Linked DNA regions of Lepisosteus oculatus. The protein of the gene in region 3 interacts with the protein of the main gene of each other region in a biochemical or structural test. Links are inferred from orthologs where the notes say so. Each region holds a gene or a part of one and is shown on either strand. Other genes may lie near its edges.

Region 1 (8,058 bases), on a different chromosome or scaffold from region 3:
GAAACGTGTTTGTTAAACTGTGACAGAAGTAAATGCAAAAATCTGTCCAATAAGTGCTTTTAACTGTTTTTTTGGTTCTTTTTATTTTATTTACCCCCCCTTGAAAACAAATGTGCAGACTGAAACTTTTAGCAACTAGAGAACACAGCACCTTAAACCTTTACAGTAAATGTAAAATAAATAATAAAAGACTAACATTCAGGGTCAGATCTCTTAGTTTTTACAGAAAAAAAGAATCCGCCTCTTTGATGGATGACAGGGAAAATCATTTCGGCAGGAACATATTTTTCTTCATTTTTACTTACAATGTTTTAGTGTACTTTTTTGGGGCCAGTAGGAAACAAGTTCCTCACCTCTGCTGTATAGATTTATTCTGTAGATTACGTGAATGCATTGTATATCTTGTCTTCCTATCTTAAAAAGAAAAAAAGATTTTAAATATAATAAAAGTATTATAGGCTGTTTCATTGTTTTTCTTAATGACAGAATGGTTGGTGGTTCAGCAACACTACAAGGACTGGTATATAAAAACACCTGTTTTATTTTACAGATGTATAATTTTTGTAAAGAAATGCTATGGAATTTAGGCAGTTGATATCTGCACCTCTCTAATTAGCAATTAACAGCCACTGCAGAATCAAATTAAAAGCTTATAGAAAAGTGTCTCTTTTGTCTTATATTTCTTATGTATGAGGATATGTTTTGGGGGGGGGATTGATCATGCTGTCGGGCTAAGGTTTTCTACAGACTCTGCTGGATTAAGTCCATGTTGTCTATTTGATATGAATCCATTTTCAACAGTGCCTTTCAGGCAATGCATTCTTCACAAAGTGTTGTGCATTAATAAACTATAAAAGAGACTATTACGTGCAGTCTCTGTTAGAATGCGGAGAATAGAGTAGAATATAGATAGCTTACAATTAGAAACACAGTGACAGAAGATAAATGGTTGCAGAATGTTAATCTTTACACGCCATAGTAAAGGGCTTTTGCAGTACACAAAGCGTGCACAATTAACAAGCAAACAAACCTAGAACCCACCACCAGTTCAGTAACCAAGCATGATCAATGATGGGGAAAAAGCAGTTAAAGAACACAGCAACGTAACCAGCATGTGACCACTAAAGCAATACTTTTACCACTTGCCCTAAACCCCAAGAACAGCTTAGCCTTATACCTTGTATCAACCTTTAGGTAAGTTCTGCTTTCTCTCGTAAAAGTCTCGGTATTCCACTACCCAGTCCCTTGGGATTCGGCTGGTTGGCTTATGAAGCTGCACATACAGGGCCCTTAAGGCAGAATATTATTTTTCTTCCGTAAATGAGTTCTGCTCCTTTGGGTATTTATAACCCAGAATACGAGCCTAAAAGGAGGAAATGACCAAGAGGTAATTAGGAAAAGACATCATAGTACTTATATACCAAGTGTGGCAGCCGTGGTCATCGGGACTTTTGTTGTAAAAATGGCACATTTTTCTACTGTTCATACAAATTTTCTTATTTAAAGATAAGTGTGGTATATGCGGTTTCGCCGTGTGGTCAATGATATGAATGCCTCTTTCCAAGCATCGTTTCTTTACCATTTAAGAACTGATGGCATTTCTTAAAAGAGCAAAGAAAAGTTTTTAGGAAATAGAGCATGCTTTTTTTGGCTCCTCTTGTATGCCTGATGACTCCTATCTTATGGGTCCAAGAACAAATGCATAAATTAACACCTTCAAAAGATTGCCATGTGCTCTGCAAAAATTACAAACTAAATTCCCAGCTTTGAAGACACCGTGGGAGATGAGAAAATGATGTCGCACGAAGCGATAGTGGCAGAAATTGAATTCACTGAATGACTGTACAGTTACAGTGTATTGACAGCCCATAAAACCCGTTAATACAAAGTAAATAGGAAAATGCCAGGTTATTTCAAATAGTGGATTTAATTGACGAAGGGTAATTGATGGGGAAATAACCGTTGAAATACAAGATAAAAGAGCAAGAAATTACTTTCAAAGGACAAAAAGAATTCTCGTTTTCAGCACAGCTTTAAATCATTTTTGTTTCGATTTTAAAAAGTGTGTTGGGAGGGTAACTGCTTGGTCTCATTTGTTGTAGTATAGTCCTCCACTGAACTTCTTTCAATATACCTTTAGTAGATATATTTTTAAAAACGAGCTCATTTTATTGGCTCGACTGTGAAAACCTCAACAGACTCTTGTATATAGAGAGAATATGTTCATGTCTGAACATCTTCAAAACGGAGGGAAGTTTGGAGCTCTTATGAAAATAATCAAAAGCAAAGTGCGGCCACATACTTCGTAATTGTGCATGTTTATCAACACGGGTAAAGAAACAGCTGAAGCGAACGGGATCCGATGTATAATGTTATAGCTGGTGAAAACTGACGCCTCTTGGATGCTTGGTCCTTTGTCTGAATGATTCCATATGGACTAATGAACAGTTAACTGCGTATTCATTCAGCTTCATTTTATAGAAAAGAGCCCGTTAGTCCTTTCATATTCCAAAAAATCTCTCTAAATCATGCAGCTGTAAAACTGATTTTAATGTACAGGCAACCTTTTTAAACAAGGGTATGTTTGTTAAATAATGAGGTCAATTAAACTTTTGGGAAAGGGTATGTGGTTCTATTTTTTTTATTTAAATTGAATTTTAAATGAAATGTCAGTTCAGCCATCTAGTTAAATTGATCAGCTTTCTTAACCACTTTAAAATAGTCAGATTGTCTAATTTGATTGATTGATTAATTTGAAATAAAGATTAGGGGATACTAATATAAATTGTATAAATGTAAAAAAAATGCACATTTTTAAAGTCATCTTTAATGTCCACGTCAAACCAATGCAGCAAAGCAATAGAAAAAAAACCCCAAACATCGTTGAGGCTTAACAGCAGTGGAGTTTAAGAGGACAATCGTACTCAAGATTTAACAGAGACTCGTTTCGAATATTGTGTACAGGCATGGTAGCTGTTACCATAAAAAAGGAACCTTAGAAAGAGATCAAAGTAGAGCAGCAAGAAAAACTCCTGATCTCAGTGAGTTGTCATGTACCCGATAGAAATTCCAACAGTTTCTTAAACGGCCTCACAATCAACTTCACTGCCATGGCTAGGAGCTGGCTTCAGGCTCATACAGTCATCTGTGTAAGAATACAAACATTGCCAACTAGAGGAGACTCTTAGGGCTGTCTAGTTTACAAACCCGTCTGCCGTCTTGTGCTCTGAATTCTCCCAAACCTGATTTCGGTTTTTACATCGTTACTCCTCCTGAAACAATCCCTCGATTTGTTTTTGTCCGTTTCTGAGCTGCAAGGCGATTTTTATTTATTTTTTTGCGGCTAAAAACGTTCAGCGTCTTCAATGGCCCTCCCACATCAACGATTGACGACCAAATGATTCGTGCAGTGTACCTGTCAATTGAGCTAAAATACAAAGATTTGTCTGCTGCGTATAATATGCCCAACACTTGGCTTTGAAAGGCGAGCGACGCGTGGTTTTGTAGCATTTATTGAAACTAGACGGGTTAGATGCATACTGGGGCTGTATGAATTGGCCCTTTCTAAAAAGCGAGAAAGATGAAAAGCTCCGAAAGTGAAAATGATTTATTCCCTTTCTCTCGACAGCTGAGTTTTCAGTTGTTCCGCCAATTCTAATCTTGTAGCTTTGCTACCATCTGGCGGCAAGATATACAGTAGGGGACAAAAAGCTTATCATCCCAATTATATTTAAGTGGGTCTAACATCTTTTTGTTCAGGACAATCACGGGTGGCAATTGTTTTCCACTGTTTTGTGTTTTTCCTCTTTCGTGCTACGAAATATTTAAGTGATTTCTTTAACTTTTTAACTGAACGGATCTGCTAAGATTGGCTAAAAGCTGTTGAAAGGTGTGGGTTGTCAGCAGACAGTTGTCTCGCAGTTCCTGGCCCCCTTACTGTTTCCCAGAAAGGGAATTGGGTGTCTTTGAGTGATCTCTGCATGCGATATTCGGGTTTGGTTTTGTTTACCCAAATTCTGGTGTGAATAGCGCCGTGTCGCATGTGCATTTGAAAGAGTACATCGTGTGAAAGTTAAATGAGATGGCACTCCGACTTAACCTTCACCATATCGTTCTGAAGACATTCTTAGTAACACTGCATAATTTAGGACTTGTGTGAACATTGACCAAGGGGAAAGAATTAAAGATCACTTTGTTTCATTCTTTTTGATTTATTGATTTGACTGTTTCATCCCCAATGGGAGTAGCTGGTGTCAATAAGAAACGAGCTGTTTTTATCCTTTTTTATCCGTTCGCTTCCCCCCCCAAAATTTAGGGAAGTGTGCAATTGTTAAGTTAAAGAAGACAGGCATAACACAACGTGGCATTGTTCCGTCAGAGGAAAAAATATCTCTGTTGTTTTTCTGTTAACTTATCTCAAAACACCAATGTCTTTCTTGTGTAGTGGACACAGAATGATATATAATAATCCAAATCAGGTTAGAATCAGGTCACCACCCTTAGCCTTTTCTGTTCACAACTAAAATGATTTGCTTCTTTTAACCTGTCAGTACATCCCCGTTAACACAGAAATGTACCTAGTTACTCATTCTAAAGGAAAATATTTTGTGGCCATAACTGTATCCAATATTCTATAAAAGGCACTGTACGTCTATATATAATCCCATCTAAAATCCTTAGTATACATTTTATAAACGTTGTTTGTTTTTCTATCTGCGATTGTACCCATTGATTGTCACCAATCAGCAGATATGCTAGGCTTTAGAGTATAAGTATGTATCTACATTTTTACCTGTGTGGAGCACCTGATGAACAAACATTTCCCCCCAAAACGTCAGAGACGGTGTAGGAGCTGTAAGGAGAGGTGTCTGTCCCTTTAAGAGGGCAGGCAGGAGCAGCCGCATGGAGAGGGAGAGTGGAAATTGTGTGGTTTTCAACTTAACAACAGGACACTCTCGGCTGTGGTAAAGTATGGCAATAAACTAGCGCGTTACTGTTATTCTCGCAGTATTTTTTAGTGAATACAGCTGAAAGGTTGTAGATAAACTGTGATATCCGACGGTCAAAGTCGAAATTCGCGACTTAAATAGCGAACAGACAATTCCAGAACATTTTATTGGCTCGGTTTCTTATGACTTCTGTTTTTTTTTTAATTGTCGGTATCCAGCGGGGGGACAAAAAGGCTTTGTGTCTTTTATTTTAAAAGTCTTTTTGGTTAGATATATTATAACTTTATAAAAGGCTTTTTATGTTTGCGCATGGTTTTCTGTGCACGTTACTTTAAAAGTACCTTATCCTGTACGTGTGCTCAAATTGTGCCAATAAAGTTATTCAATATGTATTTGCCCTTCGTGGTAATCCTGCCAGACTTGAAAGTAATGGTAACGTATTACATGTTAAGAGTAGATGAATGTTTCGTAGAGCACTGCGGTGTGTAAAAAAAAAATGATGGGGTTGTGTGGGAGACCTGGTTAAACCTGGATGGCTCCGCGTGGCCTTTTAAAAAAAAAATAGCGGGTCGCGAAAACACCGTGAACCAGGAAATGAATGACTGGGAGCGAGTACCGCCATGCTTTAAAAATGCATTTCCTAAAATAAGGCTCTGAGCCTATGCATCTGCAACGGGAACAGAGCAGTTTTTGTTTTGTGGTCTTCCTGGACTTCGTGCATCAGCCCCTGTCAGTCATTTTTTTTTTAATCAGAAGATCTGTTGCAAACGCGTGGATCGCTGCACCGGCAGCTGTAGTTCATGTGCATTTAAGGAGGTTATCCCCTCGTAGCGATAAGGGATTTATTGCATTTAATGCTCTTTACCTCTATTTTTCGTCCAGTTGCTAGGACTTTCTTTATCGTCGCCACCCCTGAAACATTGTGAGTGACGTTGTTTTTCTGTCGACTTGCTAGTTTGCAAGTCCTAAAAAAGCTTTTTGCATGTTTACCAAAGGCCATGCGCGTAGACAGCAGCAGTTGCTTTAATTGAGCTTCTCGGTGCTGCATGATAACTGAATGATTCTGCGTAATCGCGGTGTAGGCGCGTTTATATACAGCTCCTTTCAGTAAGTTATGATTGTTTTTGACTTAAGGGTTTCCTTTTAATTATCAATAGTATCAAAATGTCTACGCCTGTTGGTCGTTGGATCTCTTTACAATGACGTGGCATGGTGTGTCGGTGTTGGACATCAGTTGTAGCTATATTTACTAAGTGGCGTGCGTTCTATGGTCCAGAGACATAAATACAAATATTCTGCAGTGGTCCTATACTACCTGTGACAAGCGGTAATATCTGCCTCTATATTGCTTAACATATGTAGCCAAAGTCGTGATATCTGTGTGCACTGCATGTTAAGATCTGTATAAGGCCTGTACGTTTGATTTTCTGTTTGTCTCCTCTAACAGTAGAAGAGACCAACATGCCTGGAAAAAAGGCTGCAAAGAGGCCCAGCCCATCAGTGGAAGTCAAGCCCTCCAAGAAAGTAAAAGGTAGGTCATTGAGTGTCCAGTGGTCTCTCTGACCTATAGTAGCCCTCTCATGCTGGGGCTGCTGAAAAGCATTGGGAAGAGTTCTGGCTGTAAAATGGTGTTTATTAATTACTGCTGGTTTCTGTACATCGGGAAAACTACACATCTTCAGAGGAGGCATTCCATTAGGAGTTCTTTTATTGTAAACAAGTTAGCATTTTCAGAGTTCTTTCCTTCTACTTTATGATCCGATTCTTCTGTTGGGTGTTTTTTGCAGTCAGTAAAGTAGTTGTATTTATGTTTGCATCCCAAATATGATGTAAACTTCACATCAAGTAAAATCTGGGGCTAATGTGTGCATGACTGAAGTATAGCGCCCCATATAAGCATACTGGTTTGCTTAAAGCTCCGATTCATGCATGTCCTGTGTTGCCCAATTCTAGATCAGTGAGTGTTAATGTCAGACTAATACCAACAGTATTCACCTATAATTAGGACAAGTTGAACTTGAGGATCTTGACCGAAATGAGAAGCCTGGTGTATTTGAATGACACTATAAGTGTTTTCCTCATTCATATACAATACAGTTATACCTTATTTCTGATTTGTTTGCAAAAAACATACAAAAACTATGTTTAATAAGCATTAGATTAAAATAGATATAACATTACACAAATGACATCAACCTATACATAGTCCTTATGTACCACTCCTACAGGAATCCGCACAGATAACCAGAACCTGTGAGTTTACTCCCTTCCACAATCACTCCAAGCTCCTATAATTTCACATTATCACTTCGTTTTGCACCTAACCCCTCATTGCACGGAATTCCTCAATTGGTTAAGTCTGCATTGAAGGACTCTAAAGCACCTATGTGAGGGCATCAGTCGGTATCCTGTGGGAATTTACATTTTTCTAAGAAGAATTCATAGTCTGCAGCACAAGCCTGACATGCATTTTATTTACCTGCCGCTCTTTAGCAGAACCTTGCGCAAAGTTGCTTTGGCAGATTTCCAGGCGCATTCACTTGACCATGTGCTTGCTCTGACGTGTCGCATAATCCCAGCTGTTCCCTCCTCCCACAGTGTCCCACGGCTCCCATGGGAAGCAGGCGGGGCAGGTGCTGGTGCTGGGGCAGGGGGACGTTGGGCAGCTGGGGCTGGGCGAGGATGTGATGGAGAGGAAAAGGCCGGCGCTGGTCTCCCTGCCGGAGAGTGTAGTGCAGGCCGAAGCTGGAGGGATGCACACGGTGTGTCTCAGCGACACTGGAAATGTGAGTGACTTCCACCCCCCTCACCTTTAATGAGTCTTGAAAACCTTATGACAACTTTGTTTCTTTACCCAGCAGATATTTCTAATAAAATAAAGGATCTTCAGTGTGGTGTAAGGGTAGGCTCCAGTGGAATTTAAGGACACGAAACACTGGGCAAACTATTCTTAGACAAGATGGGACCGATAGCCTTCCTTTAATTGTACCATTCTTATTATTTAGGAGCCAAACAAGCATGAGGAAGAGGAGGCCAATTAGCCCTTTCAGCCCATTTGGTAGCAAGAAGCTAATTGATCCAATTATCTCATCCAGTTTCTCTTGAAAGA
Region 2 (7,989 bases), on a different chromosome or scaffold from region 3:
TGCCAGGGCCAATGTCCTAGGTCAGGCCCTATCCAAATATCACCTGAAGATATTTAGATTCCACAGCTGAAACATTGTGTCTCTTTTCTTTTTCTTTCGGCATGGAATAAACCTTTGCCTGCTCCTACTCCAATAATGCCTGTCTTTCTGGATTGTGGGCATTGTGCTAATGGTTTGTGGCATTGTCTGCCTCTCCCCAGCAAAGTGAGGTAGTAATGTATTCTCCCAGGGCATTGGCATCATCCTGGGCCTGTTCAGGCTGCCTTTCTGCAGTGGCATCTGAGCTACTCTACACTCTTTAGCAAGGTTCCCCAGCTCTGACAGGCATTGTCCATGGGACCAGTGGTGCCTGAAATTGTTTAGGATGACCAGTTCCATGCTGCACCTGTGAATTACTGTCACTGGCAAGGTCACCCTTGCTAGATTGCTGCTACAATAATGGCCACCACTACTTACACTTTCACTAAAGGGAAAGATCAGTTAGGTCTTGGCTCCCTGAAACTGAAAAGTGGCCTTGGGCCAGAGAGGCTGCTTAAGTAACCCTATGTGGATTCATAAGCGAAAAAGATTGATTTGTGGGAAATTGCATGGTTATGGCCTCCGGGAGGATTGGGAAGCTGCCATTTCTCCCTACAGCAGCTTTGATATACATGCTCAGCCTACCTCGTGCCCTGCAGGCAGTATAGCACTTGACATTTTCTCTTTCAGAGAACAGGCGTCACATCTGTAACTGCATAATTTAAGGAACCTGAGGTACTGACCTCACCATCATAGAAAACCAAATGTTCATTTGTGTAAATTGCCTAAATGGACCACACAGAAGGAATCGTGACCTCTATACGAGACAAAAAGCAACACCTCCAAGTGTAGGGCCATACTTCTCTGCGATCTAAAGGACGGAATCTGAGGCTTTGTTCCACCACAGCTGGGAAAGTACCCACCTGTGTCAGAAATACATTAGCTGTAGTTTACTGTGGACATATAGTGCTGAAATTTCAAATCATATATGTGTTAACAAATTGCTATAGAATCTGCAGGCTACATGATGACACAAATATTTAAAACCCGGGTCTGTCTTTGTGGCAGCTCTGAAAGGGAATCTTGTACCTGCTGGCTGGCTGATAAAGGCCACTAGCACTTATAGACACACAGGGCGATAATTAGCTGATTAATTTCATTATTGGTGATTGGTGTGATTGGTATATAGAGGAGTTTGTTAGAATTTGGTGTTTGACAATAGTTTAGATTTTATGTTATAAAGCCCTTCAAAGTGCAGTATTTCTAAGTATTCAGATTCCTTGAGGCAACATATTAAAAGGTGAGGGTCTGTTGCAGTCTTCTACATCCAGTCCTGTGGAAAAACCTTGATCTGCCATATAAATTAGCTTGCTCTTTGACCTCTATGTTGAGATTTTACATTCTTCACCTACTGGAAGAAAAATATTCATTTTCTTTTATTTTGTTTCCCCCAGGTTTCTGAAGTTTCTTTCCTGGCTGATGAGAGAGTGAAATGAAGCAAACTGAATTATGGTTTAGGAGTTTTCAAAATGCCCAGAAACACGCTTTCAGCACCCAGATCATTAAACTACTGTAGTTACAGTACATTCCCTGTTTTTGCCATTGTTTCTTTGTTACACACCCTGCTAAGTTTTAAGTCAGACCCTGTATTTTGGTTATTAAAATGCTTATTTAAATTTCCTGGAAAGCAGGTTAACCTGTTCTTCAGGTAAGGAAGACTTTCTTGTTATATTACATAAGCCAGGAGAGAAATGGTGGTTTTGTAAGACTGACATTCTCAAACATGTAGGTATGCTTCACAGTTGCTTGACAACATACTGCACTGTGTGCAGGTTGCTCTTTATTGGTGTTGAGCCTGTTGATCAGTGCATTGTACTGTAGGTCAGGAACTTCTGTAGGCCTTCCTTGAGTTTAAACTGGTTTTAAAAGGAATATCCAGGGACAATTTATAAAAGATATGGATTAACAAAAGGTATTTATCAGTATCTGCACATCGCTTTACTATTATAAGGTGCCTTTTCCTAAATATGAACAAGATGAAGGGCTCTAAAGAGTCCTTTACATCAGACAGCAGACTGATGGAATGGTGGGACTCATGTAATAGCTCATTTATTCATGTAATGCAGGCTTCACTGAAGCACAGAGAAGCCAAAATTAGGAGGAGAAATATTGCTGCATACTTAAGCCTCACATCCAATGCCCTTGATACATCAAGTACAGTATCAGACTCAATTACTGTATCCTTCAATAAATCTTGATTCTCACATTTTTTATGTTGCATGCAGCAATCTTTCCAGATGTAACAATATTTGAATGTCCCTCTGCCTGTGCTGAGAGCTACATGTGCAGTGGAAATTTCCAAGCCAGGGGAGGATAGTGTGCTTTGATTGCTTTAATGTTTAATGACTTTGGGACATGTTTACATTTTGTTAGCAAACTCAGTCATTTGTTAAATTGGGGCAGCAACATACCTATGGCCACCACTTTGCTATACCACTGGAGACTTTTAAAAAAATAACCATTCCTGCTTTTGCTCAGAGGGCATGAAAGCAGCATGCAGTTTCTTTTAGTAGCATAATCTTGTGCTGTGTACAATTACAAAGACATCTGTATACTGTATCAGGAATGTAGGTTGCTCTGAGTTTCACATTTTGAGTCTAGAGTGCCAAATTCATCTCTGCTAATGTCCGACATTATATAATGAAAAACGGGATATCTACCCCTCACGTTTATTTATCGTGGACTTAAACGCATAAACCGAATATTAACTCAGTATGCTTTGCATAATGAGCATTATCTACTCAACTGATTGATATAACCACATCAAAACAGCAAAAGCCAACTTGTGAAACATCGTTGAATTTTTGGTTGCTCTTTTGTTCAATAAATGCATAGAAAAAAAGCCTTTTAAATGTCAAATAATGATACTCTCACTTGGATCACGTGCATTTAATTTCTTTCAGAAAATCTGCACAGCAGTTTACTCGGGCGCAAAACAGTACTTGAAACAGCCCTAAAAATGCGAGAACAAAATCTCACATTTTAAGTCCTTCACTGCAAGGTCTGGAAACCTCGTGTCAAAATGCGCGAATTCTATCAAGTACAACCCTGAATTATCTGAAATATAAACCGAGCATTTACAGGAAGGTTGTCACCCGTCTAACATCAACTAAAACCTCTTCAAAGCGCGAATCGCACACGGTAAGAGAGTGATGCACTGTCCAGAAACCGCACTTTGCATTGCGATTTCTGCAAGCTCTACGGTGCTCCTCCAGACAGTCCTGTATTTTTCCATCGACCGCTGCGCTCGATCAGACGCACGTGACCTGTCAACAAATTGCAGGCTGAACTCTCAATAAAAACCCTTTAACTTCTGGAAAATATTCTAAGTTTGCGACGTTTGTTAAACTATATATATATACGCTCACATTCGCTATGTGCACGCTCAGCACGCTGTCTCTCCTTTGTTTCGTTATTTTAGCTGACACCATGCGCGCATCATGCCCTCTGTTACTACACAACCACTCCCCTCAAAGCTAGTGGAAAATTACCAGGTTAGAGGAGACCGAGGAAAAAGAAACCAACTTCTCCAATCGCGCAGCGGCTCTCTAATCTGCTTGTTCGCGCACGATTTTCGGAAGGCCGCAACGCCGATATCACAATCCGTAACCTTACAAATATTTTAGACACCGCATGGGCACCCAAAAATTGTTTTTTTTAATTTATTATATCCAGCACCGTGGAAGATGCAAGTTTCCAGACGTCAATCAAGTGTTTTGAGCCAATCATGGCCGCACCTGGCAACTTGCAGATTCATTGTAACTCAGACGCGCACCAGGCTCCAACCAGATTGACAGGGCGATTTGACCAGTCAAAACTCAGATTGCAGGGGCTTCGTTCCGCCGTGATCCTGCCTTCTTTTTCGGCTCAAGGGCGGAGCGGTGGCGTGGGCGCCCGTAAGAATTGAAATAGACTGACGCGGGAATTGGCCAATAGGAAAATAGTTCAGCCGTCGCTAAAGTCCGCTCAGCCAATGGGCGGGGGGCATGGGCGTGACGTTGGTCCAAACTTTCCGCGGCGCCATCGGCTGAAAACTAAACCGAGATGGAATCTCCCAGTCTGAACCGGTTTCAACCGGTTATGAGTTTGTTGCTTGAGAGCAGAAGAAGCGCAGAGCTTACAGTCTCTTAAACCGCCCCGCTGCATAAAACATTTCAGAGAATAGAACAAAACTGTAATCTGGAGAGTATTTTGTTTCGTAAAATGAACCGGAATAACAAATTACTTAGCGTGCCGTGAATATTGCAGGAGAACCCACATAAGTGGTTCTTAATCTCAGTACTCATTCTGTGGAATAGTGTATAGAAATTCTTACCACGGTATTTAATCATTTTTCTAGATTCTCTGGCTAGAAAGCCACACGTATTTCAGTCTAAGCCTTGGATTTAGCGATTTACCAGGTAATTGTGGTTTTTCTGTGCCAGTCACTGAAAATATTGGGTTCACAAATTTGCAGAATAATAAAAAGAAACTTACTGTAATTCACTGGTGGAATTAAAAACCAAAAGGAGGGGACAGTGATTTAAAACGTAGGTAAGTAAACGGTGCATAGGTAAGGCTTTTCAGGATTGTGAGAGGGGGTTCTGTGTGACATTAAAACTCATGGTGGTGCGTACAGCGATAGTGGAGAGTGGAGGCCTGTTGAGAAATTGAATGAAAGTAAATCCAACCACTCAGAGCGCTCGCCAGCGGACGCAGTGGAGCAGACGCCTTTGCCGTGTTGTTAGCGGAGAAAAAATGGAAAAGCCAGAGTGCGAAGGAAAGAAATTGTAGAAAATGTGAGATGGAAGCGAGGTGCAATTGAGGGGAAGTTTCTAGAAATGTTTTTTTTTTCCCCGAACAGTAGCGAATCGACTATGTGAGTCACGTGCTCAGCCTCCGCTGCCTCAGAGGGAGGGGTTGCTCTTAGTGCGTAAAAAATGATGTAAACAGAAGGAAATTAAAGACGATTTGGTGACAGTTTGATATTTTTTATTTGTATATGCGCGTAGACGGGGTACGCTTTCTCAGCTACTTGTAAGGACAAAGGGTTTTTTTTCTTTCAGGCCTTAAAGAAAAGGATGTTTCAAGTACCGAGCAGAACTACAGGCATTAGCTGGGAGTTGCACCAGTACTCCTTTTAGATATCCTCCAATAATGCCTGAGGTGTGTTTGTGTGGGAGAAAGAAAAAATAAAATTTAAAATGAGCAAAACGGTCCAGCATCATTCATTTTTTATGATGAAATTACAGGGAAGGTAAATGTTAGTTTAGCTTTCTTTTTGCTTAGATCAATGACCAGCCTGTCTTAACACTTGTGCATGCGGTCATAGCATATAAATCAGGCCCCGTGTAACGTGCCTGCCTTCTGAAGTGGCTAGATCTCCGCATGGTTTTAGTGAAATTTAAGACTGAAAGTGCCATCTAAATAACAATTATAGCTAATCCTTTTAATACCGCGCTTCCTTGAAAATTTTTTGCATTAGTGGCAGGAATTACCAATATCAGTAGACGCCAACATTGACGTTCTCTTGTAACAGTGGTGGATTGCTAAACGTGCGTTGCTTGAGCAGGCGTGCTTAGCAGGTGGGATACTGTTCAGTTTTGCTTTCGGAAAGGGCGGGTAAACTGGGTGTAGACGGGTCGGAGGTCTTGTGGGTGTTGTTGTTGGTTTAGAAGAAAACTGCCTGGTCCTGTTTGAAAGTGCTCTTGCATAGTGCTTCAATAACCGAAGTATGCTTGTTGTAAGGTTGTCCGCTGCGTTTGCCCAGTTCAGGCTCTGCTAGTAAACGTATTGGGAAGCGCCCCAAGTCCCGTGCCCACGCTTACCTGTAGTCTGTTTTCATCATAGACTCACTCCCCAGCCCGCCACCTACTTTCAGGTGTAGACTGATATCGATTAACATGTTTTGTTGTGGCCTTATTGATCTCCTTTGTTACAAACGTGCCCTAGATATTCCATTCTGTATAGACGAATGCCAAAGAGTTACGCCTATGTGACTTGTATGCAGTTTTTGATCTGGAGGGTCGTTAAAAAATTCCAAGAAGCTTCCTATATTCTATACTACGTGGTTTAGTTTTAAGATTAAACAGTCCAGTGAAGTGTCAAAGAGCTTATTTGAAGTTCTGAGATGTGTACTGTACTACGAATTCAGTTACATGCAGCTCTGTTTTGTCCTGAAAGACCTTCGGGCCAACAGCTGTTTGGAATTGTGTGCCTTAATCACTGTTCAATTCACATGACTTTGCCTGTTGGAATCTTTTTCTGTTGCAGTACTCTATGCCAGCAATTATGACAATGTTAGCAGACCATGCAGCTCGCCAGCTGCTGGATTTCAGCCAGAAACTGGATATCAACCTATTGGACAGTGTGGTGAATTGTTTGTACCATGGTGAAGGGCCACAGGTAAAAATGAATGATAAAACATTCTTAAATTAATGCATTACTTTTTTTTACATTTAAATGCTATGTAAAAGCTTGATCTGTAAAGCATCTTATTTTTAATCAATTTTGCAGTTGTGAAGAAGTTTAATAGTGCAGTATTCAGAATTAACATCTCATGCAACATTACTTCTAATATGCATTCCTAAAATAAATTTAGTATTGATAGCTTTGCTTGAACCTAAGCTTTCAATAACCAAATTACTTGATGGATTATACGATTTATAATAAAACAAATCTTTAAAAGGAGAGTGTGCCAGCACCGGTCCACGAGGCTGCACGTAAACAGTTTTAATAAGGTCTCTACATATTATCTTAAGAACTAGAAAAAGGCAATTTGGCCCCATTGAGCTATTTATAAATGAGGAAAATTTGAGAATTAGTTGGTACAAGGATTGATAAATCTGGGAGTCCTCAAAAGTGGGATTTGGCGACCTCTGGTGTGGAAAGAGAATAGGCTGTTTTTCAGGTTAACCTGAGGCCTGTAGTCTTATTGACCTGCTTTGAGTGGACTTTTTCCTTATTGAAGCTAAGACCAACATCTCTAATGCTGTATTTAGTTACTCTTCTATCAGCTCACTTCACTTGAAATCATCTGTTACTTTAATAGCAAAGAATGGCACAAGAGGTGTTGACCCATTTGAAAGAACATCCAGATGCTTGGACAAGAGTCGACACTATTTTGGAGTTTTCCCAAAATATGAACACCAAGGTAAGCAAGACTTGGAATAATTACAGGAAGGACTGAACATCTGTACTTTGAGGAAGTCATAGACGAGTGCTGTGGTTTCAAACTCCATTAGGTTGAAAACTAAATTTTTATTTTGATTATATCAGCTAAGCAAGTGTTCTGCTTGTATTGTGGACTAAGCTTCCTGCTAGTTTGCTCTGGTTTTGTGTTCATGAAATGGTAACACAAATGTGCTTGTATATTTGGTTCAGGCCTAGCTTTCAAAGCTTTTCTATCTGCTCAACCATTTCAGTTAAAGTCAACACAGCATACTGCTTACAGTAAAATAACATTGCTTGGCATGCATTATTCATTTAAGAGTTTGACCTTTAATAGTTTAAAATGTCAGTCCTTTATAGTATTTCGAAATTTCAGTTATTCCAAAGCTTAATTGGTGAAATTCTCAGTAATCAGTTGTAATTGTTACCTGAATCTGTACTAATGCGTATCTATATACCCAAGTATATACATATGTATTTTAGTAAGGTTTTCTGTTTGGGTGAACTACGTGTAAGCTATTTTAGTGTATAAAAAGACTTCCTCAAAGTTATGGTACATGACAGTTTGCCTTTTTTTGCTTGCCTGTAAAATTGCTCTTTAATACTGACAGACATTACTAATGTTTGAGTTGATTTGTCAACAGTATTTTAATACACAAATTTGTAACTTGCGAAAATTGAGGTCATTAGCGGAACAGAAAGAAAACAAAAGGTAAACATTTCTTAAATTTGTCTAAATTTTTTATAGTGCATCGATTTAGC
Region 3 (7,734 bases):
TGCATGCAGGGAAAAAAAGTAAAAGCAGCTCTCCTGGGTTCTAACCTAGTTGCACAGTTATAACCCTTTTGAGGTTGTCTTCTTTAGCATGTTTGCTATTGTAGCCAGCAATCACTTTAAAATCAGATGCCAGACCCTACTGCCTCTGGAATGTCAGTGTGGTCCTGGAGTGGCGTGGCCCCTGTAAACTATAGTGCTTGAAAGCATTTGATTTAATTCTCAAATATTATTATAACATCTATACTCATATTTGCCTCCCTGATGAACCACCTTCTTTTTGATGTTTTCACTTGATCCGGTTCCAGAGTTGTAAAGAGCTGTTTAATAAACAAGTAATGATACTTTTTTTCAGGCATTCTAAAGTGTGTTCATATTCAGTACCACCTAATTTTGCTTTAACAGCAAGAATTGAAAGATGCTTACAGGTCTATTTGGTCTAAAGCTTGACTGTGTGCAGGTCAAATATAAATATGTACTCTCCGTCTTTAAATTACTGAAAGCAGGTCTGCATCTATAATATGTTATGTCTGGTGTTCTTTTCACTATGAAGAAAGATTATAGCAGTGTATCTCATTCCTGGTCTTAGGGGACCGGTGTCTCTTTTTTTTCAGCAGCTGAATTCTTAATCATAAGCTAATTGATTCTCGTTTTCTATTTGGAGCATATTTTGAAATCTGCTTTCAAATCTCAGAAGGTTGAATGGAAACTGGAATTGGTATGAACCCGGTAAATAATTGTGGTTTGTCTGAATCAGCTTGTGTAAGTATTTGCTGTATTTGCATTCCTTCATTTTTGTGTTCATCATAAGAACTATTTAGACAGAAATAAGGGGAATCAAGTTTGGCACAGACATTAAAATTCTGTGTGCTGAAGTTATTGGAAACTGTCCTTGGATTAGGATATTTCTGAATATCAAGAATGAGTTCAGAAAATAAGGAAAAAAAATCTAAACAAGCAAGCAGGTTAATTACATTAATCAATTAGCACTGGAGAATTGGAGCTTAGCTGGAACAATAACCAACAGATGCTGTGCTCCCCAAGGACTGGTGATTGGTAACCACAATGTTGATATTTTTTTGTGTAAATGCTGTAGTGCTAAGGTCTGAGGGCTAGAGGGCAGCAGTGCAACTTTTAAAGCTAGAATTCTTGGATGTAGAGGTTTTGCTCTGCATTCTTGAGTTTTTTAATGACTAAGGTCTTTGATACTTAGTATTTGACCAATTGCAGGTTTTGCAAATAAGCTGTTAAGTCACTAAAATGTGATTAAAATATACATTCTAGATCTGCTTCTTAGTAAAATTAATTTTTGCTTCAATTAAATGCATAGGTCTCACCTGCATAGTACTCGGAATTAGGGTTTTTAAAGCATGCAGACATTCACTGAAAGTAAAACTAAGATATTCCTTTCTCCTGTGATTAAATGGGGTTTTAATTTAAGTGAAAGTGTTGCTCTCTCTGCTGACCAGATAGTGAAGCTTTCCATGTACTTATACTATCTATAGGTGGTGTGTGTGGGTGGGATGAGTGTGAAGGAATAAAGTTTTGAGGGCAGACTGTTAATGCTGCTTTCTGCTTGCTTTACAAAGGGCTCCTGATCATTTGCTGTTTATAGGGTCCTTAATGTCTTGACAAGGAAGTTCTGATGGTACTTCATACCCTGGTATGACGCTCTGTGTACTGTTGGCTGAAGCTTGGCAGTGTGAGCTGTTCTGTGATTACAGGATGGATGTCATGTACTGTACTTGCCCTGTTGGAGGGGCTGTCTAGACTTGTCACAGTCTTAGTCCTTTGAATAGAGGCTAATGTAACTCAAGAAGTCAGTCAGAACTATTGTCCAAGACATTGGAATCTTCTCAGCACTGTGATCCCAATTCCCATTGCTTTGTATGAGGCTTCTGTAGTGTTTTGGATCCATGGATCTCAACTTGACCTTCAAAGTTCTTAAAACTAGTTGGTAGAAAGCAGAGAGATTGTATATTATACCTTTATAGCACTTAATGTTTAATCATCATGTGATGTTTGCAAGTTATTTTGATTGAGTTACAGTGCCTTAAATCTAATAGGGAAATCTTGATTTGTGGATTTTCTTAAATAATAGTAATGTTTCTTTTAATGTTTTAGCAGGTACGTGTGAACATCTCAGCTCATAAGTCTGTTAAAACCCAGAGCTAGAGATCACAAATCAGCATGGCTGAGGAGCAGGGTGAGTGTAGGGGGCCTAGGGACAGCAAAGATGATTCATGCATTAGATTTACATAAAACATCTGAGTCTTTAAATATAGTGTTAACATTAAATTAAGGTGTTAAACATTCAACACCTGTTTAAAAAAAGACAGAGCTTCTCTCTGTGCAGCACAGGTAGGACTTCACCTGTTGTGGAGCACCCCTGTTTCTGAGAACAGGATGTGCAGGAGAGCAGAACTGGTACTTGGAAACACAAAAAAAGTCCAGAAAGGGAATAGTTACCAAATCCTTATCAGAATCATGCTCTATAGAAGCTCTTGTGAAATAAAATTGTATTTTTCTTTTGTGGCGTAGTATTATTTCCTTCTCTACAGTGTACATGTCCATCTAAATACTATAAATCTTGCCAGGTTTGCATTAGGACAGTGAGAGGATTACCTGATGAACACAAGCATATTTATGAAGATCTCAAATCTTTTTACAGAAGCTTGATGGAATTTGTTTCTTTAAAGACGTTTCCTTAAAATTCTTAATGTTTTTCGAATTTCTTAGGCTGGCTCATCTTTTTTCCCCCATTATGACCATTTTTACTTTTTATCCTTTTATACTGTATAGCAAGAAATAATTTCAGTATCTGTATAGTGTAATCAGCTTGCTGTATTATATGCAAAGAATAGCCCCCAGGCTTAATTCACTGCTTAAAGTGGATGGGATAGTTCTGTAGCTAAGCATCTGATCTGTGCACATGACCAGCAAAAGCAGATAATGTCTGGTATCAATGTGCTTGGTACAAATTTAGCCTTATGTGTAATTGACTCCTGTTGCTGCTACATCTGACTTGGACCCAGATGTATAAGATTAGTTGTGTTATTTTTATATGCAAGTTTTGAATTTGTGAGATACTTATTTTCTTGAACCAGCTAACAGAAATAGACAATATTTTTAGTCTTATTCTCTAATGCTGCTAAAAATACACCGACGTTTGGCAGAGTTGTTTCTCCCAGGTCTGTGTTTATATCAGCTGACCTCAGTGTTGGGTCTAGTGCCCTCTTTCTGCAAGAATGTGTAAATACAAGTGAGTTCTCTCCCCTTTTTTACATTGCCTTTCTGTAAAAGTCCAAATCCTTATTCAGGCTATCTTAGCTGTCAGGCTTCCTTCAAGGTTGTCCAATCGTGGGTCCCGAAGGGCTGATGTCTCTGCAGGTTTTCAAACCAGTGCGGCACTTAATGTCCTGATTCAGTGACCTGTTGGCTTAATTGGACCAATTTCATAGCCGTTCAGGTGCTGGCAAACCTGCAGACACACCTCTGTCCTGGACTAGGATTGGGCTGCCATGGGCAGGACCTTCTCATTTATAAGGCTTTTATAGAGCAAATTACCTTGTACCTATTGTTGTTGTTGTTGTTGTTGTTGTTTTTTTAGGATTTATATAATTTAACATATCCTACAAAAATGGGTCACCTTTGAAACCAGACGTGGTGTAGGAAAATAAAGATTTAAATTGTATTCCAAGAAACTGAAGTGAAAAAAAAAGCTGTGCTGCTATTTATGAAATTCACATCAGTGTTTCTTTGGTTATTGTTGGCCAACAGTATGTTTTACCTCTGTGGGTGTCGGTTCTTTAGGCCAAGGGTTCCCAATCCTGGTCCTGGTGACCCACATGAAAAATCAGGAAAGTGTTCATCCGGGAACAGTGTTGCTAATTGATTTAACATCTGTGTATCAAAGCAAAAGCTGGCCTGGAGGGGACAGTGGGGAAGCATGCTGAAGTAAATCTGCTTTTAAAGGAGGGAAGGTGACCTGGTGGGTAAATAGTCCTCTTATTTGTCAGGTTATGATGAACTAAAGGTAGTCACTCCTTCAGAGTTACCCAGCAGAAAGTACAGGCCAAGTTTATGAAACCAGTTTTTTTGCTTCTCATTTACTACTCTTTTGTTTCCCATGGCCAGTGCTCAGCTCTAGATCACTAAGAGCCCCAGACTCATCTTAAAGAGGACTAGAAGCTGTACTTGAAAAACTTCATTTGCAGCCTTCTCGTGTTGCTGGTGTGGCATTGAAGGGAATTCTGGCCTGCGCAGAAAAGAAGCTAGACCTCTGCATATGGCTAGTGAAATCCAAGCAATAAGTCACGCGTTTTAGTATGTAGAAATGTCCAAGTTGTTGACTATAAATAGGTCCAAGTGGAAATTCTAGCAGCTGTGTTTCTGTTGGATGTCTCTCTCACATCTCTGCAGCCATCTGGTAGAGGGTCTTTCGTTCCTTATGTGTCCCCAAGCCACTTTGACAGGTAGTGTTTAAGTAAAGCAAGACTGTTATTTGCTGCATGTTATTTGGGGCACAAGAGGCCGAGTTAAGTTTCATGACCTTTTGCCAGTAACAGTCTGACGACTGATTTATTAGTGTTTTCGTTTTAAAGCATTATTTACTGGGATGGATTTCTTAACCATTGAAGCAAGCTGTTGGAGCTGTGTTTTCTGCCTGGTATAAACTGTGGATTTCAGAAGCACAAATAAGAGGCATTCATTTTACATGACAATTGGACAAGTTGATGGGCAGTTCTGATAGAGCCAGTGATGAGTTCATTTTCATTGGGGAGCTTCAGTTTCAAAGCTCTGAATGTCTGGATGTTGATAGCGTGATGGTGACATTTGAAAGGGACTCTTCAAGAATTAAGCTTAGAGGGTGCTGATGTTCGCAAAAGTCAAAATGCTAGTACTACTAATCAAAGAATATTAGTATTGTCTTTCAATTACGTAGACTGGATGCATCACAGAAGTGTTTTAATGTAGTTTTGCCAGTGCGCTGAAGTTCTTTGGAGCCTGCATCAGAGTCTGTCCATAAACCACAAGTTTTTTTTTTGTTTGTTTTATAGAGAAACCTGCCATAGCTCCACCTGTCTTTGTGTTCCAGAAAGATAAAGCACAGAAGGTAAGCCAGCCAGTTTCAGAGCTGATTTATTTCACTTCTGGGAGCTGGGGGGCGGTGTTGAGTGGATGAGAAACAAAGTAAAGGTTAAGGGATCTGAAATCCGTTTAATAACTGAACCATTTTGTAGTGCCATATTGATCATGGTAAGAGTTTGGAGTTGAATGCCATTTGACAGGAGGCGAGAACAATAAACATGTAATTTGTTGACTTATTTTTATTTCAGAGATCAGCTGATGGATCCAGTGCAGAAGATGGTGAAGGTGACTTAAAAACGGAAATTTTTGTTTTGGTGAAAAACTAGACATGCTGTATCACTTCATGAATTTATTGTGGTTTCCTGGACACTTAGAACAACTTGTACTTAAATGTTTCAGATTCAGACAAAGACGATGGAGCTTATTGTCCCCCTGTGAAGCGCGAGAGAACATCGTCTTTAACACAGTTTCCACCCTCACATTCTGGTAACTATCCCTGCTTCTTGTGAGCAAGGTAGATGTGTATGTAAACGTGATGTGAGTTCTGTTGAATTGGCTTGTATGAGACACTAAGAGCTTATTGGGGTTTTAGCATTTTGTGTATTCTGCTTGAGGTTCTATCCTTGTTAACCTTATGCCTTGAATGTGAAGGCAAACAGCTATTGTATAAATAGCAGATTTTCTAAGCACACATGGAATACATAAGCATACATAACATAAAGATGTTCAGTCTCCAAAATTATAGGAAAGGTGCATAATTGTGACCATGAAGAATCAAAAACCCAAATTATCATTTACATTTCTATATGTGGCTCATGTCTCATGTATATGTGGGCATCCCTGCCCTCCTAGGATGTGATCTAGAGATGGTTGCATCCAAACATGGCATTGACAGCTGCATAATTACTGTCTTCACTGAAGCACTTGACACTCATTCATCATCTCCAAAGGCACTGGTATATAGAACTATACAAATCTGTGGAATGGTGGTTTACACCCGGATGGGGCATTTTTTCCAAATGTTCAATTGCTTCCTAGAGAATGAGTATTTTAGTTATTTCAGACTCTGATTTGTTAAAATAAGGTATATAATTTGTAAATGCTTGCTAGGTACTGACCTGTGTGGACCCTGTAAGTAGTCTTAGAAATATTTCTTAAGCCAGAACTGTTGTTGTTTTGTTTGTGATTTGATACATTCCAAAGATCATTCGCATAATCATCGTTCACAAGGAAGTACTTTTTTCCATTGCCTTCATCCCATCATTTATTCCTGATATTTGTTTTTTTCTTGGCCTTGTTTGTTCTCTCGTGTAATATGTTGCTGATTTTTCTTTGTAGTATCCAAAAACAATGTGTTTATGCCCTCAAGTTTCTGTCAGTCCCCAACTGGAAATTCAGACTCTGAGCCTGGTGAGTTCACTGAACTGTTCTCTCTGTGGGTCTGATTTGTAAGATGGCATTGAACTCTGGAAAGGTTAAGCATAGGCTTTTAGCCAATATATTTGTTTTTTTTGTATTTTATGTTGAACCATTTCATTGTACAACCTGTTTTTTTTCTCCGTTTAGAGAATGGTGTCAGGTTTTAGAATCATTAGTCAAATTTTTCCAAAATATTTTTTTTTAACCTATAACATTTGGCAGTTTATTCATGCAGAACTAAGTTTAATCTTCATTGCTGTGCTGTGACAAGTCAGCCAGGTCAGTCAGGTCAAGTAACGAGTCTAAGCTCTATTTCTTTTTAGAGTTATAGCGTTAGTTATTTCTCTGGTGTGTTTCTTTACTTTTTTAGTCTTGGCTTTTTACCTGCTGTTTGGTCTTATTGTAATATTTGAATGATTTGTACTTCATTTCCCACTTAACTAAAATTAAAACCTTTCTTCTGGTCAGGCTGCTTTATCAGACTTGGGCCAGATTAGTTGCAAAACTTTTTGGCAAAACAAACTGGGTCTTCTACATTGTTTTGCAGTTACAATTTATATATGCAGAAAACAAGACTCTTGTAAATAAGGACTCAGCTCCCCAGGATAAAGATTAATTACTCTGGCTCATTTTTCCTGATTCCCTGATCATTAACTTGCAAGTGTTTATCTGTTTGCAGAGGAGAAGACTGTTGGATTTCGTCTGAAACCGCCCACCCTGATCCATGGACAGGCCCCTAGTGCAGGTGGGTATTCATTGCTGCTATGTCCACGAGTGGATTTAGCAGCTGCTAGCAGCCTTTTCCGCTGTGTGTGTGTTGTTTTTTGCCTGGGTTATTGTAAGTCCGTGGTTGCATGATGGATTTGCAGCAAATGCAGGAAAAAAGGAAATAATCTCATGCATATTCATGAGAAAAGTCTTAAAACTAGATTTTCCAGTCTTTAGACTAGATGTGAGAGCAAATTAATAAAATTCAAGCTAATGTTAGCGTATTTTCCTTGTATTACGACTTTAATTATTTGATTGGGCAGAATGCTTTTTATGGGAACTTTCCTCAAAAAGAGTTCTCAACTTGTGTTTGAGATCACCTAAATTAGGGCTAGACTATGTGGTGTTTTGATCGTTTTGAGATCCAAGCTATTGGCAGGTTATCTTTCAGGTGTTCCAAGCCAGAAGCCTAAGGAACAACAGCGAAGTGTACTTCGCCCTGCAGTACTCCAGGCCCCA

What was found.
Region 1: the proteins of ran-binding protein 3 (region 3) and rcc1 form a complex in vitro, tested with the Homo sapiens proteins (2 studies listed by BioGRID). The link is inferred for Lepisosteus oculatus from reciprocal best matches to the Homo sapiens genes RANBP3 and RCC1.
Region 2: the proteins of ran-binding protein 3 (region 3) and exportin-1 form a complex in vitro, tested with the Homo sapiens proteins (2 studies listed by BioGRID). The link is inferred for Lepisosteus oculatus from reciprocal best matches to the Homo sapiens genes RANBP3 and XPO1.

What each region holds. Positions count from the first base shown.
Region 1 is NC_090706.1:6,699,172-6,707,229, forward strand, and holds the start of rcc1 (regulator of chromosome condensation), read left to right. Parts: upstream 1-4,874; 5' UTR 4,875-4,964; exon of another isoform or gene 4,965-4,969; intron 4,970-5,284; exon of another isoform or gene 5,285-5,381; intron 5,382-5,692; exon of another isoform or gene 5,693-5,871; intron 5,872-6,396; 5' UTR 6,397-6,410; coding exon 6,411-6,480; intron 6,481-7,547; coding exon 7,548-7,735; intron 7,736-8,058. UniProt on the Homo sapiens protein: Guanine-nucleotide releasing factor that promotes the exchange of Ran-bound GDP by GTP, and thereby plays an important role in RAN-mediated functions in nuclear import and mitosis.
Region 2 is NC_090712.1:9,751,110-9,759,098, forward strand, and holds the start of exportin-1, read left to right. Parts: upstream 1-4,671; 5' UTR 4,672-5,214; coding exon 5,215-5,223; intron 5,224-5,231; exon of another isoform or gene 5,232-5,314; intron 5,315-6,330; coding exon 6,331-6,462; intron 6,463-7,108; coding exon 7,109-7,210; intron 7,211-7,989. UniProt on the Homo sapiens protein: Mediates the nuclear export of cellular proteins (cargos) bearing a leucine-rich nuclear export signal (NES) and of RNAs.
Region 3 is NC_090724.1:4,953,518-4,961,251, reverse strand, and holds the start of ran-binding protein 3, read left to right. Parts: upstream 1-4,432; 5' UTR 4,433-4,447; coding exon 4,448-4,472; intron 4,473-5,057; coding exon 5,058-5,113; intron 5,114-5,336; coding exon 5,337-5,373; intron 5,374-5,487; coding exon 5,488-5,574; intron 5,575-6,426; coding exon 6,427-6,498; intron 6,499-7,186; coding exon 7,187-7,252; intron 7,253-7,654; coding exon 7,655-7,734. UniProt on the Homo sapiens protein: Acts as a cofactor for XPO1/CRM1-mediated nuclear export, perhaps as export complex scaffolding protein. Bound to XPO1/CRM1, stabilizes the XPO1/CRM1-cargo interaction. In the absence of Ran-bound GTP prevents binding of XPO1/CRM1 to the nuclear pore complex.